Anolis sagrei: one gene and its partner. The main gene of each other region encodes a partner of the protein of the gene in region 2 in a complex. Links are inferred from orthologs where the notes say so. Each region holds a gene or a part of one and is shown on either strand. Other genes may lie near its edges.

Region 1 (7,023 bases), on a different chromosome or scaffold from region 2:
TACCACCTGCCAGTAGTAAATAACTGGTGGGACCATAAACCTGCAGTTCCATCTTGTCTCCTGCAATGTGCTTATAATATGATATAATATAATACAATATAATATAATATATTGTATATACATATAATATTGGTAATATTATAATGTAATACAATGTAATACTAATAATAATATTATAATTATATATTTTATATTACATGTAATATTACTAACAATATTACAGTATAATGTTATAGTACAATCGAATATATAGTATTAATATTGTGCTAGATCCGCATAGTTAAAGCAATGGTATTCCCCATAGTCACCTACAGATGTGAGAGCTGGACCAAGGGGAAGGCTGAGCAAAGGAAGAGATGTTTTCGAACTGTGGTGCCACAGGAAAGTTCTGAGAGTGCCTTCGACTGCGAGAAGATCCAACCAGTCCATACTTCAGGAAATAAAGCCCGACTGCTCATTGAAGGGAAGGATAGTACTGCTCATTGAAGGGAAGGATAGCACCGGGATTGTGGCGCAGCTGGCTGAGTGTCAGCTGCACTAAGATCACTCTGACCAAAAGGTCATGAGTTTGAAGCCAGCCCGGGCTGGAGTGGGTGTCCAGCCATTGTGTAGCCTGTTGTCGACCTTTGCAACCCGAAAGACAGTTGCATCTGTCAAGTAGGAAAATAAGGCACCACCTTGTGTGGGAGGCTAAATTTAACTAATTTATGAGGCCATAAAGAAAAAAGACTCCGGGGAATGTGGAATGCGGAAGAACTTCATCGGTGTCGCTGATGGACGATGAAAAGCAGCAGCTCCCCTGGCGGCCAGAAAAAAGTTAAATAGCCTTGGTGTATTTGTGTGTTAAACGTTGTTTGTCAAAACTGGCACTGAATGTTTGCCATATATGTGTTGACTGTAATCCGCCCTGAGTCCCCTGCGGGGTGAGAAGGGCGGAATATAAGAACTGTAAATAAATAAATAAATAAATAAATAAATAAATAGTAGAGGCCAAGATTAAGTACTTTGACCACATCATTAGAAGAAAGGAAAGCTTAGAGAAGACAATTATGCTGGGGAAAATTGAAGGAAAAAGGAAGAAGGGCTGACCAAAGGCAAGATGGATGGATGGGATCCTTGAAGTGACTGGATTGACCTTGAAGGAGCTGGGGGTGGTGACTGCCAACAGGGAGCCGGACACAAAGAGTCAGAAACGACTGAACAAATGAACAACAACAAAATGGTAATATAATATATTGTATTTACTTTTTACATGTAAGCCGCTCTGAGTCTCCTTCGGGGTGAGAAGGGCAGCATATAAATGTTGTAAATAAATAAATAAATAATAGTGTAAATGTGTGTGTGTGTCAGGAGTGACTTGAGAAAGTGCAACTTGTTTCTGGTGTGGGAGAATTGGACATAAAATAATATTTGGACATAAAAAATTAAAAATGATAATACAATAACATTTATATTAAAAACACTCATTTGGAGAGTACGCAGGAATATCCTGTCACCTGACATCAATTTTCTTGCGGCTGATAATCCTTTTTTTAATGCATGCACAAATATTGTTTTACCTATGAAAGTAATCATTGTGCTTTGTATTTTTTCACAGATCTCTTGCTACATTCATATGCAGAACAAAAATACATTTATATATATTGTATAACTTGTAATGCCAAAAGAACAGAGAGGAGTGGAAGTGTTTGGAATTAAAGCTGTCTCAGTTTTCTTTGCTTATGCACTCTCTAATGAACTCTATGCTCTCTCCATTCCTTCCTCTTTCTATTAATGGGATTTCCCCCTCTTCATAGTCACCAGCTGATTAATGTGTATATTCTAATTTTAATGTGTATGTCACCATATGTGTGTGTGTATGTATGTATATACTGTGGGCTACTGAAATGATCAAAGGTCTGGAAACCATTAATCCCTATGAGGAGCATCTTAAAGAAATGAGTACGGTGTGTTTATACTGCAGAAGAGAAGACTGAGAGGAGACATGATGGCCATGTATAAATATGTGAAAGGATGTCATAAGGAAGAGGGAGAAAGCTTCCTTTTTGCTGCCCTGGAGACTAGGATTCAGAGCAATGGGTTCAAATTACAGGAAAGGCGATCCCACCTGAACATTAGGAAGAACTTCCTGATTGTGAGGGCTGTTCAGCAGTGGAACTCACTGCCTTGGAGTGTGGTGGAGGCTCTTTTTTGGAGGCTTTTAAACAGAGATTAAGATCTTATTGGGAGGCCCTGTTCTCAGTCTCGTCACCATCACAGTGATTGGCGGGGATGAGAGACAGGGCCTTCTCAGTGATTGCCTCCCTGGCTACGGAACTCCCTTCCTGGCAAGATTAGATCAGCCTACTCCCTCCTGTCATTCAGAAAGATGGTAAGAGCTTGGGTTTTTGCACTGCCTTTGGAGCAGTGCAATAAGGCAACAACAGAAAACTTTACACTGCCAACCAAAGTCAATATGGCTGTTTTGAGACGATTTTAAATAATTGATTTCAAAGTGGGATAACGGATTTTAATGTTTATGTTTTTTTATAGTTTATTTATGTTCTGGCATTTAATGTTTGCCGTATATGTGTTGTGCTCTGCCCTGAGTCCCCTTCAGCGTGAGAAGGGTTGGAATGGAAATGTTTTTTAAAAATAGATAAATGAAATAGAGGCTGGATGGTCCTCTGTCGGGGTGCTTTGAATGTGATTTTCCTGCTCCCAGGCAGGGGTTAGACTGGATGGCCCACAAGGTATCTTCCAACTCTATGATTCTGTTGGCCTGCTTCTTGAAAGCAATACTTACAGAGTAATTCTATTGACTTTGGGTGCATGTACACCAGGCATAGGCCAACTTGGGCCCTCTAGGTGAGGCTGAACCTGGAACTCCCTGCCTTCAAGTTGATCTGACCCACAGCAGGGAGTTCCTCAGTTCTCCATTGCCCCGCTTGGGCCAACCGCATGAACGTGACCACAGCAGCAGCTGCAACTCAGAAGCCTTCTAATTTCTTTGCCTTTCCCCCTTACTAACATTGTAATGAATCCCCCCAATAAAAAGTATGAATTAATTGTAACTTTTTTCCTCTCCATAGTGTTACTTTGTGTCCCTTTACTGCCTCAAACTTCTCTTTCGATAAACCTTTCTTCTCCCGGGCTGCAGATAACTGCCGGCCCTCCCGGAATGCGATTTTCGCATCCCGGGGAGGCCGAAACTGCACTCCCTTAAACAGCGGGTATGGAAACCCTTCGGGGCCCCGTATCTGCGAGTCAACGGATCGCTTCTAAAATTGTGTCATTCTTCTCCTGGGAGAATTCTAATACTAATGGCTATCTTAGTTTTGCTCTGCTGCCCCGGGAATAACCTTTTTAGCCTCTAAAACCCCAACCTGGCGTCCAGCTGTTTTTTCAAAGATGTTGCCTTGCGGGAGCCTCTAAATTCTAGCTCGATATCAGGAGTTGAAGTCCAAAACACCTGGACGGCCCAAGTTTGCCCGTGCCTGGTCTACTGGCTGTTAGGAATGGTGGGAGTTGAAGTCCAAAACACCTGGAGGGCCCAAGTTGGCCTGATCTACACTGTAGAATTAACACAGCTTGAAATCACTTTAATTGCAGTGGCCCAATGGTATGGAATAATGGGAACTGTAGTTCGGTGAGGTACTAATACAGTACTCTTTGGCAGAGAAGACTAAAGATCTTAAACTACAACTCCCAGGATTCCATAGGATTGAGCCCTGGCAGCCAAAATAGTTGTCAAACTGCGTTAAGTCTAGAATGTAGATGGGCACAAAGAAACAAGGAAATTCCGTCTTCTACACAAGGTCCAGGAGCCTTCTCTAGTCTAGAACCCAATTGGTAAGGAATGCTGCTTCCTGGTGCCTTCCTCAAACGGCTTCAAACGTTTGGTTATTAAAAACTACAACTCCCATGATGCCTCGCGACAAAGGCGGCTGCGTCGCGAGGCACGAAATTGTGACCTCCCCCTCCCGCTGCCCACCCGCCTCAGTCTCTGAGCCACCCCTGGCTGCACGAGGAGGGCCTCTGGGAGGACGAGGAGGAGGACCAAGATCCACTCTGCGCAAGCGCAAGAAACAGAAGCGCTAAGACAGCGAATCACCATCCAGGAAACAAAACTGCCGGCTTTCAAATCCTCCGCCTCCTGCTAACGCCATCCTCCTCCCCCTCTTCTCCAGAGGCAAGAGCGCGGCGACGTGAAGGGCTGCGATCGGGGGACTCCGCAGGTTCGTGGGTTTGATTTATTGGAGCACGTTTGACTAAACGGCGGAAAGAAGCGTGGGAGGGTGAGTTAATTATTTTTGTTCCTCTGAAATAAAGTTTCCTCGCGTTTCCCGGCAGTTTGAGGAAGGAAAGACACGCTGGCGTTTGGCCCCAGGGCTACACGTGTGGGCGCATCCACACGTCGTCACGGTACACGTGTCCTGGGCTATTACAGACCGGGATTGGAAAGCCTATCCAAAACTGATCAGTTTCTTCCGTGTGTGACGTCACGCCCCGTGGGACCAAAGGCCTGGGCAAACATGGGCCTTCCAGGTGTTTTGGAGTTCAACTCCCATCATTCCTTACAGCCTCAGGCCCTTTCCTTTTCCCCCTCAGCCGCTTAAGCGGCTGAGGGGGAAAAGGAAGGGGCCTGAGGCTGTGAGGAATGATGGGAGTTGAACTCCAAAACACCTGGAAGGCCCAAGTTTGCCCATGCCTAGTCTACACCGTTGAATTAATTAAGTTTGACACCACTTAAGGTGTCTCAGTGGTGTGGTATCATGGGAGCCTCAACAAACTACAACTCCCATTGAGCCTTGGCAGTTCAAGCAGGACCAAACTTCATTAATTCTACAGTGTAGATGATTATATAAATGATGACAAAAATAAATTGGAAAATGCATAGGAAAGGGATAGTAGTAGTAGTAATAATAATGCTCAGATGATTCATTGGAACTTGTGCCACAAATACCATCTGCCTGTCACAAAGAACTGGTGGGATCACAAGCCGGGAAAAGTTACAGAGAATGAACATGTCAAACTCCTCTGGGACTTCTGGATTCAGACAGAGTTTTGGAGCACAATACTCCTGACCTCATGAGTATGGATCGTCGATGTTGCAATCCCAGGTGACAGCAGGATTGAAGGGAAACGACTGGAAAAGCTGACACGATATGAGGATTTAAAGATCGAACTGCAAAGACTCTGGCACAAGTCAGTCAAGGTGGTCCTAGTGGTGATCGGCACACTGGGTGCAGTGCCTAAAGACTTTGTCCTGCACTTAAACCCAATCGGTACTGACAAGATTACCATCTGCCAGCTGCAAAAGGTCACCTTACTGGGATCAGCACACATTATTTCCCGATACATCACACAGTCCTAGACACCTAGGAAGTGTCTGATGTGTGATCCAATACAACAGCCAGCAGAGTGATCTTGTCTGCTATGGACTCATCTTGTTGTGTTTCAAATAATAATAATAACAATAACAACAACAACATTATTTGTATTCCACCCTTTCTCCCTGAGAGGACTCATGGCGGATTCCAGCATAACAATGGCAAACATTCAATGTCTTCATAAAACACACAATACTAATACGAATAGTAGGGATATCAGATCAGCCCCCAACCTCATAATATTTCGTAAAAAAGTTAAAACTTGGCTTTTTGTGCAAGCTTTCCTAAATGCAGTGTAGCAGACAAACTGATCTTTGGAACAACTGGACAATGCGATGAGATAATGATTTTAGTAATGAGACGCTGAGGATTTATACTTTTATGGGTTTTATTATTTTATTTAATGTTATTTATGCTAAATGTATTAATTGTTTTTACGTTATTGTGAATATCAAATTGTGCCATTTGCCCTGAGTCACCCTTGGGCTGAGATTGCAGGATATAAATATGGTAAATAAATAAGGAACCCCCAGTGGTGTAGTGGGTTAAACCGCTGAGCTGCTGAACTTGCTAACCGAAAGGTTGCAGGTTCGAATCCAGGGACTAGTGTGAGCTCGTGCTGCTAGCCCCAGCTTCTGCCAACCTAGCAGTTTGCAGTAGATCAATAGGTACCACCCTGGCAGGAAGGTAATGGTGCTCCATGCAGTCATGCCAGTCACATGACCTTGGAGGTGTCTATAGGCAATGCCAGCTCTTCGGCTTAGAAATGGAGATGAGCACCAACCCCCAGTCAAGCATTGTTAATGTCAGGGGGAAGCCTTTACCTAGTAAGAATAGTGAGGAATCAGGAGCGGCTCATTGCCTCCATATAGTAAAAAAGTTGATATATGATTCGTGATTTCCATGAATAATTAAGAAATAATGCAGTTGCAGTCCTTTTTGAATTTCAGAAGCGATCCTAGTTGGATGTATTGTTGAAGGCTTTCATGGCCGGAATGACTGGGTTGTTGTGAGTTTTCTGGGCTGTATGGTCATGTTCCAGAAGCATTCTCTCCTGACATTTTGCCTGCATCTATGGCAGGCATCCTCAGAGGTTGTGAGGAGGTCTGTTGGAAACTAGGCAACTGCTAGACCATTAAATCCTAATCAAGGTGGCCAGTTGAAACATTCACACCTACCTCAAACAGACAAGAGTTCTTTCTCCCACCCTGGACATTCCATAGATATATAAACCCCATTTTCCTAGTTTCTAACAGACCTCACAATCTCTGAGGATGCCTGCTATAGATTCAGCTGAAACGTCAAGAGAGAATGCTTCTGGAACATGGCATACAGCCCGGAAAACTCACAACAACCCACTGATCCTAGCTGGCCTTGTGGATTAAGCGCAAGTAAAAGCCAGTAAATACTACACAATACTGGTCCTATCAACTACAAATGGGCTGCTCCATCTCCAAATTGCATTTCTGACAATGCAGCCAAACTCTGTGGGTCAGTGGAAACATGTGAGGAAAAGGGACCTTTTGAAATAATGTGTGTTTAGCGCTTTGAAAGAGATTACTAGCAGTTTTTGTATTGTGCTCAGAAATGCTACACAAAGCTGTTGTACTGCAGTTGCAAAGGGATCCCTTACGTAAACACAAAGTACACT
Region 2 (7,702 bases):
TAAGTCGGATGTTTGTAACTCAGAGACTGCCTGTAAAGCTTTTTTGCTAGTTTTCTTTATATTTCATTCTAAGGGTTTTGAAGTTATACTCAATGGCTTTTCAGATGAAACTGAACTTCACAGTGTCAGCATGGTAGGTTTGTAAGCCCACTACTTTCAAACCTCAATACACCTTTAATTTGAGTTGAGTAACATAATATTTGGATATAATAGGGGGAGAAAGGGCTGCCATATATGTGGCACATTCAGCTCAATGGAGGAAAAACAGGACAAAAACGTTACAAATAATGTAAACTAATAAACTTGTAATTTAAAATCACCATCTCATTGTTTGAAATAACACAATGTAACAAAATTTGAAACATTTTCTGTTTCTGGTTTGAAAGTGTTATTTCCCGTATTAGTTGTGCGGTCCTTACTTTGAAAGCAGTTGTTCTACTCCAGAAAGTCATTTTTGTGGCTGCCATAAGCTAGGCTGAATCAGCCAAGACTATAGGCTAGTCATTAAAAGACTATAGCAAAATGTGCTATAGCAGGATGTCCCGCCAAAACGATTTTGAAGTTCAATGCACTTTGCCCATGCTTTTATGATAGAACCAATTAGGAAATGACATTTATAGCCCAGGAACAAAAACCATGTTGCTTAGGGCCCTTCCACACAGCCATATAACCCAGAATATAACCCAGAATATGCCGCCCTACATGAGAGCCATGCGTGACTTAGGGCCTTTTACTCTCACACTTAAGACCTGGCTTTTTACTAGAGCATTCGATCTCTGCTGATTTTTAATTTTTGTATGTATGTATTTTATCTTTTGTAATTTAGCTGTAAATCGCCTGGAGCATTCTCGGATGGAGGGTGATTAATAAGTTATTAAATGATGGTGATGTATATCAAGGCAGAAAATTCCACAATATCTGCTTTGAACTGGATTATGAATCCACACTGCCATATAATACAGTTCAAAGCCAATAATGTGGGATTTTATTCAGCTGTGTGGAAGAGAACATAGTGGGTTACAAATATATATCACACTACCAATAAAAATCAAACCAGACAGCCATGAAGTCCAAAAGCACAATGTTGCCTTCGGTTACCTAAAAGTTAAATTCTTCGGATCCTTAACACATTTAGGGCTCTTCCACACAGCCATATAACCCAGGGCCCTTCCACACAACCCTATAATCAAGATCAAGGCAGAAAATCCACAATATCTGCTTTGAACTGGGTTATCTGAGTCCACACTCCGATACTGTAGGATTTTCTGCCTTGGTATTCTGAGATAAAGAGCTATGTGAAAGAGCCCCCAGACTATCAAGGCTGATAACCCACAATATCCACTTGGAACTTGGTTATGTGAGTCCAAACTGCCGCAGTAGACTCTGGAACTCTCTGCCCTGGGAAAACTAGAATGGCCCCATCCTCCCTGCTGTCCTTCAGATAGCAAAATCCAACATTTTCATTCAGGTAGGCTTTTAAAGGTTTGTAAAGATCATCAAGGGGGGGGGGGGACTGCTGTGATTTTGTATGTGGTTAATGATGTTTTATACTGGTTTTAATACTTGTATATTTGAAGTTGTGCTGCAGTGCTTTTAGTTGTGAGCCGCTTTGAGAGCCCCTTCCACATAGCCCTATAGCCCAGAAGAAGATCAAGGCAGAAAATTCCACAATATTTGCTTTGAACTGGGGGTCCTTCCACACAGCCCTAAATCCCAGAATACCAAGGCGGAAAATCCCATAGTATCGGAGTGTGGACTCAGATAACCCAGTTCAAAGAAGATATTATAGGATTTTCTGCCCTGATATTCTGGGATATAGGGCTGTGTGGAAGGACCCTCAGTATGGAGAGAAAAAGTGGGACATAAATAAACATCAGATAATCCAACTCAATGTGGATTTTATACAGCTGTGTGGAAGGGAGTTACAAATTAGATGTCAAACTGTGCGCGTGGGGTTCCTGCGGATTCCTAGGCGAACAAAGGAAGCCACGCGCCACAGGGATCCTCCCGCCCCACCAAACAGGGGAAAAAGTTGTGGGGTGGGGAAACTGCTTTTCTTTTTAGTAAAGAATCTATTGGGGGAAAGAGGGCTCAGAGGCTGCTTACCTTAAACTGGACTTGGGGTTCTCCTTGCGGGGCGGCCATGCTGCGTCTGGAGAGGAAGAGGAGCGAGGGAGGGAGGGAAGAAGGAAGGAAGGAAGGCAAGAGGCGTGATCGGTGAGGAAGGCCCTATTCGCCCGAGCTCCCCAAAAGGCGCGTGGCGGCCTCTGCATCCGGGGCGCGAGGCAGGAAGTGGCAGCCGGAGCGGCCAATGGCGCCCCCCCCCCAAACAAGCCTCGCCTAGCCTGGCCTCGCCTCTCTTCTTCCCCCCCCCTCCCCCCGGGCCCGGAATGGCTCAGCACAATCGAGGGGCGTAAGGCAGCGCTTGCAAACAATACGCCGGAGGGACAAGGCGAGCCATTGTGATCGCCTCAGAAACGAGGCAAGAGACGGCCTTGGGGCAGAGCTCTCTCTGAGGGAGACGGAGAAGTACCACCCACGTACGTTGTTTGCCGGCAGATCCCTCAGGTGGGATCCGCCCGGTGCCTGACTGCTTCTCCGCGGAGATCCGCCTCCTCCTGGCGGGCACTTCCCGCGGGGGACCGAGACTGAGGCGCGGCCGCCCCTCCCCCTCCCTCCCCCGCCAACCGCCGCCCCAACGGCCACCGCCGCGCGGGAATCTCCAGAGCGAGACACGCACCCTCCTGGCGGGCCTCAGCCGGCGCCTCTCCCGCTCGCCTGCCCGCCTAGCGCTGCCCTGAGGCGCCTCCGCAGCCTGCGAGGGCCTCCCCGGCTCGCTCCCCCTCGGCCTCCCGCCTCTCCTGCCCCAGAGTTACCTTCCCGGGGCGGTTTTCTTTCTCACTCCGCTCGCTCTTGGCTCTCTCTCTTGTCTCCCTCCGCGAGCTGGGCGGACGGCTGAGGAAGATGGCGGAAGCGCGAGGGTTCAAATAGCCGTAAAAAAGAAGGGGGAAAGGGGGCGGGGCGTGCGCGCGGGGGCCACGCAGGCCTGACGTCACAGAGGCCCGCGCGCGCTCACAAACGGGCAAACAGGGCGGGGGGAGGGGCGGGCTCCGTGTCACGTGGCTGCCTCGGAAGGCGGAGGAGGAGGAGAGGGAGAGCCCGGCTCTTCGCGCCTCTTTCTCGCCGCGCTCACTCGCTCGCTCGCTCGCAGGGCTTTTCCACTCGGCCATCTCACCCAGAATATCAAGGCAGGGAATCCCACAGTATCTGCTTTGAACTGGGTTATTGGAGTCCACACTGCCACATAGCCCACTTCAAAGCAGAGATTGGGGGATTTTCTCCTGCTGTGTGGACGGGGCCACAGGCAGGCAGGCAGGCAGTCCAGCCGAAGGCAAGGAGGCGCTCTCCGCCTGGGTGGAAGAAAGGGCCGCTCTCCCCCGTCCTTTCTCTCTGGTGGCCGTGAAGACTCAAGCCGTTTCCAACCAGTCATTTAACTCAGAATCTCAAGGCAGGAAATCCAAAATATCTGCTGTGAACTGGGTTATTTGGCAGTGTGGACTCAGACAATCCAGTTCAAAGCAGATATTGTGGGATTTCGTGCCTTGCTATCCTGGGTTATATGGCTGTGGAAGAGCTCTCAGGCTCCTTCCACGCCAAAATCCTACCATATCTGCTTTGAATTGGAATATATGGCAGTGTGGATACGACTAACCCAGGCCCTTCCACATAGCCCTATATCCCAGAATATCAAGGCAGAAAATCCCACAATATCTGTTTTGAAGTGGGTTATCAGAGTCCACACTGCCATATATTCCAGTTCAAAACGGATAATATGGGATTTTATTCAGTGGTGGGATTTTTTGCCTTAGATATTCTGGGATATAGGGCTGTGTGGAAGGGCCCTGGGGTCCCTTCCACACAGCTGAATAAAATACATTATCTCCTTTGAACTGGGATATATGGCAGTGTGGACTCAGATAACCCACTTCAAAGCAGATTTTGTGGGATTTCCTGCCTTGAGATTCTGGGGGTCCTATAGCCCAGAATATTAAGGCAGAAAATCCCACATTACCTGCTTTGAACTGGGTTATCAAGAGTCCACACTCAGGTAATGTGGGATTTTCTGCCTTGATATTCAGGGATATAGGGCTGTGTGGAAAGGCCCCCAGAATACCAAGGCAGAAAATCCCACATCTGAGTGTGGACTCAGATAACCCAGTTCAAAGCAGATATTGTGGGATTTTCTGCCTTGATATTCTGGTATACAGGGCTGTGTGAAAGGACCCTCAAATAACTCGGTTCAAAGCAGATCTGGTGGACTACCAGGTATTCTAGATCAGTGGTTCTCAACCTGTGGGTCTCCAGATGTTTTGGCCTACAACTCCCAGAAATCCCAGCCAGTTTACCAGCTGTTAGGATTTCTGGGAGTTGAAGGCCAAAACATCTGGGGACCCACAGGTCGAGAACCACTGTCCTAGATTATATGGCTGTGTGGAAGGGCCCTTGTAGAATCCAGTTCAAAGCAGATCATTTGGATTCAGAAACTGAGTTGCTGTGGCAGTATAGATCCAGCCCGAGTGTCTGCTATATAATGAACTGCAGTTAATCCCCGAGTTACAAACATCCGGCTTACAAACAACTCCTAATTAAAAATAGGGCTGAGACTCCTTCCACACAGCTGAATAAAATCCCATATTATCTGCTTTTAATTTGAATATATGGCAGTGTGGACTCAGATAACCCAGTTCAAAGCAGATATTGTTGGATTTTCTGCCTTGATATTCTGGGTTATGACTGGAAGGGCCCCGAGACAACAGGAAGGGAGAGATATCTATCCCAAGGAAGGGAAATCCACTCCTGGAAAATCGAGTCTCTACTGAAGCTTTATCCCCAGTTGTTGTTTCTACAACAAGCCACATTTCTCAAAATCCAATTATCACAGGGATAGAAAGTGTGGGAACACTTTATTCTAAACAGGGGCATAGGCAGCAAAACGCCACAGGAATATTGACCCTGAAGTGTGACCCAAAAAAACCTTATATATTTGGTTGGAGTTACACTCAAGAAATGTCCCTGTTCCTATTTACATACAAATTTAACTTACGAACAAACCTACAGAAACAATCTTGTTCGTAACTTGGGGACTGCCTGTACTTGCTTGGATTTTCATGACCGCTAGCATGAGTTGCCTGAGGAATTTATTGACTACAGCCCCTTCCAAACTCTCAACCTGCTGTAACACTTCTTTGTTGTGCTATTTGTGCTTAGATATACAAGTTATATAATTTATACCCATTTATTATTTCATAATAGGAGCCCCCCAGTGGTGCAATGAGTTAAATCCTTGTGTCAGCAGGACTGCTGACCAAAAGGTAGGCGATTCGAATCTAGGGAGTGGGGTGAGCTCCTGTCAGCTCCAGCTTCCCATGTGGGGACATGAGAAAAGCCTCCCACAGGATGGAAAAACATCCAAGCGTTCACTGGGCAACATCCTTGCAGACAGCCATTTTTCTCACACCAGACATGACTTGCTGTTTCTCAAGTTGTTCCTGACACACACAAAAATCACAATACTTTTAGTTCACAAAGGATTTGTGAGTTTAGTCTTCTGATGAGACAAATGTGTAATTGGTATGTGATGGTCAGTTGTTTCTAGGCATTATTCCTGGCGAGGGAGTGTGTTTGTGTGTGTAGCGGGGGAAGCACACTTACAGCAGGTCCTAGCGATTGGTCTTCCCACTGTATGCATTTACATAGACAGAGAACACAAGGGCACCAGTGCTAGCAGAGGAATGGATTTTGTAGGATCAGCATGACTACAGTCCTTACCTCAGCATAAGCTCCACTGATATAAGCAAAGTTGCCTTTTGACTGCATAGCTTCAATTTGTAAAACATACTACACTTTGGAAAAATTACTTTTTAGGTCAACCATTTCCAGAATCTCTTAAGAATGTGAGTGTTGTGGTCCAAGAAGTAGCTTTTTCACATTTTTCAGTGACGACTATTCATTCGGTTTAATTCAGTGTAAAGTCTTCAATTGAAAATGCAACTTAAACAGTTCATATGAAATAAAAACTTTAGCAAAGAGAAAGAAGCCCATTTCAAACGTTCTCCATTCTGCAGGCTATGAGAGCAATTGTTTGGTTTTCTCCTGCTGTTCTCTAGTAAGTGGTGTATTTTGCTTCTGTACAAGATTTGTATTGTATTCTCTGAGGTTTGGGGACCAGGGAGGAGTAACAACATTTCTATTTGTAATTTTCCTGTGCTTTCCACTGGTTTTTTCCATCTTTTTATTTACAACAACAAATGTCTATGAAAAAAAGGAAGATAAAATAGCTGCAGGATGCCTTCTGACCAACAAAGCTAGAAGCTGCGTGGCTTAAAGTACTTTTGTTTGGAGGCAGCATATAGCCAGCCATCTTGACTAATACACATTCGTTGAGAGCATTATTCTCCAAGAAAGCTATCCAATGTCCCTTTCAGAGCCACATAAATTGATGGTCATCAACACATTATGTGGGCATCAATTCTACAATTAGTATTTGCCCTCAGCAATTAAATTGTAAAATTGAAAGCTCCTTCAGTGCCCTGGGATGCAGTTCATCTGGCCCTGCTGATCTGAACTCATTCTGGTTAGTAAGGTGATTCATGACTAACATCCTATCAATCCTGAGTTGCAATTAAAATCCCTAGTTAGTATATCTGCTGCTACATGGAAGTGCACACTTCTCTTTTGGGGAGAAAAATCAAGTGGAATTAGTATTGAGTTCTGGCTTTTTCATTGTGAAATGTTAGCATTTTTGCTACCTTACCACTATTTCCTTGCCTTGAGTGTATCCAAAAGGGATCTAGGTGCCTTAGGGCCCTTCCACACAGCTCTATATCTCAGAATATCAAGGCAGAAAATCCCACAATATCTGATTTGATCTGGGTTATCTGAGTCCACACTCAGATAATGTGAGATTTTCTGCCTTGATATTCTGGGAAATAGGGCTGTGTGGAAGAGGCCTTAGAGTCCAGACAGGCCCAATATCCCAGGATCTGTACAATTTATAGGAAATACAGAACTGTCAAATTCAAACTTCCCGTGCCCCTTGCTGGCTTCACGCCGATTGGTTGGAGTCATCAGCTGGAGGGAGGCGCGGCCGGCTCAGGCGTGCCTTGGCCAATAGGGAAGCCAGCGCTGCTTTGGCTTCTGAGCCAATGGGAATTGAGGAGGCAGTACAAGCAGGAAACAAAGAACCGAGAGGAAAAAAAATTAGTGGATTAAATGTAACTTAATGGTTTGTCCGATGGCCAGCGATAATCCGGATATTCCTCAAGCTGGCCTGGTATTGTCCCGTGGGGGTGAAATATACAAAAATGGTTGGCGCGGCTGCCAAGCCTTGATAATCTTTTGTCCTGGATATGGGATCAATTGATGCTATCTGTGTGTTGGTTTCAGCCAAGGGTGCAAAGACAATGGGTGAGGCGGATGGGGCATCCTGATCTTTCCTGAAGGCAGGATGTACCATTGTTGATGAGTGATAGAGTCACCATGGGGGTGCTTTCCTAGGCGGTCATGCTCCGAGACCCAAGAGGCACCGTTGTTATTATTATGCAATAAGTCTTTGTTGGAGTCCTTAAGTCAGTGGGGAATTCATCTCAGGAAATAGGAAGGAATTTCCCAAGAGTTTGTTATGCTGGGGTCATGAAAAGGT

Evidence for each region.
Region 1: the proteins of RAN (region 2) and RANGAP1 are in contact, whole or in part, in a cryo-EM structure (PDB 9B62), measured with the Homo sapiens proteins. The link is inferred for Anolis sagrei from reciprocal best matches to the Homo sapiens genes RAN and RANGAP1. Residues at the interface, in NP_006316.1 of Homo sapiens: Asp18, Gly20, Tyr39, Val40, Ala41, Thr42, Leu43, Gly44, Val45, Glu46, Glu70, Lys71, Leu75, Arg76, Tyr79, Asp91, Thr93, Ser94, Arg95, Val96, Thr97, Asn100, Lys123, Asp128, Arg129, Lys130, Lys132, Lys134; in NP_001265580.1 of Homo sapiens: Ser29, Gly58, Asn59, Thr60, Asp86, Thr89, Gly90, Arg91, Leu92, Arg93, Ile96, Asp121, Ala123, Phe124, Gly125, Asp127, Asn151, Cys152, Gly153, Met154, Gly155, Arg189, Asn190, Arg191, Gln217, Asn244, Asp245, Asn246, Thr247, Asp273.

The regions. Positions count from the first base shown.
Region 1 is NC_090025.1:161,611,083-161,618,105, forward strand, and holds the start of RANGAP1 (ran GTPase-activating protein 1), read left to right. Parts: upstream 1-4,007; 5' UTR 4,008-4,217; exon of another isoform or gene 4,218-4,277; intron 4,278-7,023. UniProt on the Homo sapiens protein: GTPase activator for RAN. Converts cytoplasmic GTP-bound RAN to GDP-bound RAN, which is essential for RAN-mediated nuclear import and export. Mediates dissociation of cargo from nuclear export complexes containing XPO1, RAN and RANBP2 after nuclear export.
Region 2 is NC_090034.1:37,904,103-37,911,804, forward strand, and holds the start of RAN (GTP-binding nuclear protein Ran), read right to left. Parts: upstream 3,002-7,702; 5' UTR 2,877-3,001; intron 2,541-2,876; exon of another isoform or gene 2,383-2,540; intron 2,153-2,382; 5' UTR 2,146-2,152; coding exon 2,107-2,145; intron 1-2,106. UniProt on the Homo sapiens protein: GTPase involved in nucleocytoplasmic transport, participating both to the import and the export from the nucleus of proteins and RNAs. Switches between a cytoplasmic GDP- and a nuclear GTP-bound state by nucleotide exchange and GTP hydrolysis.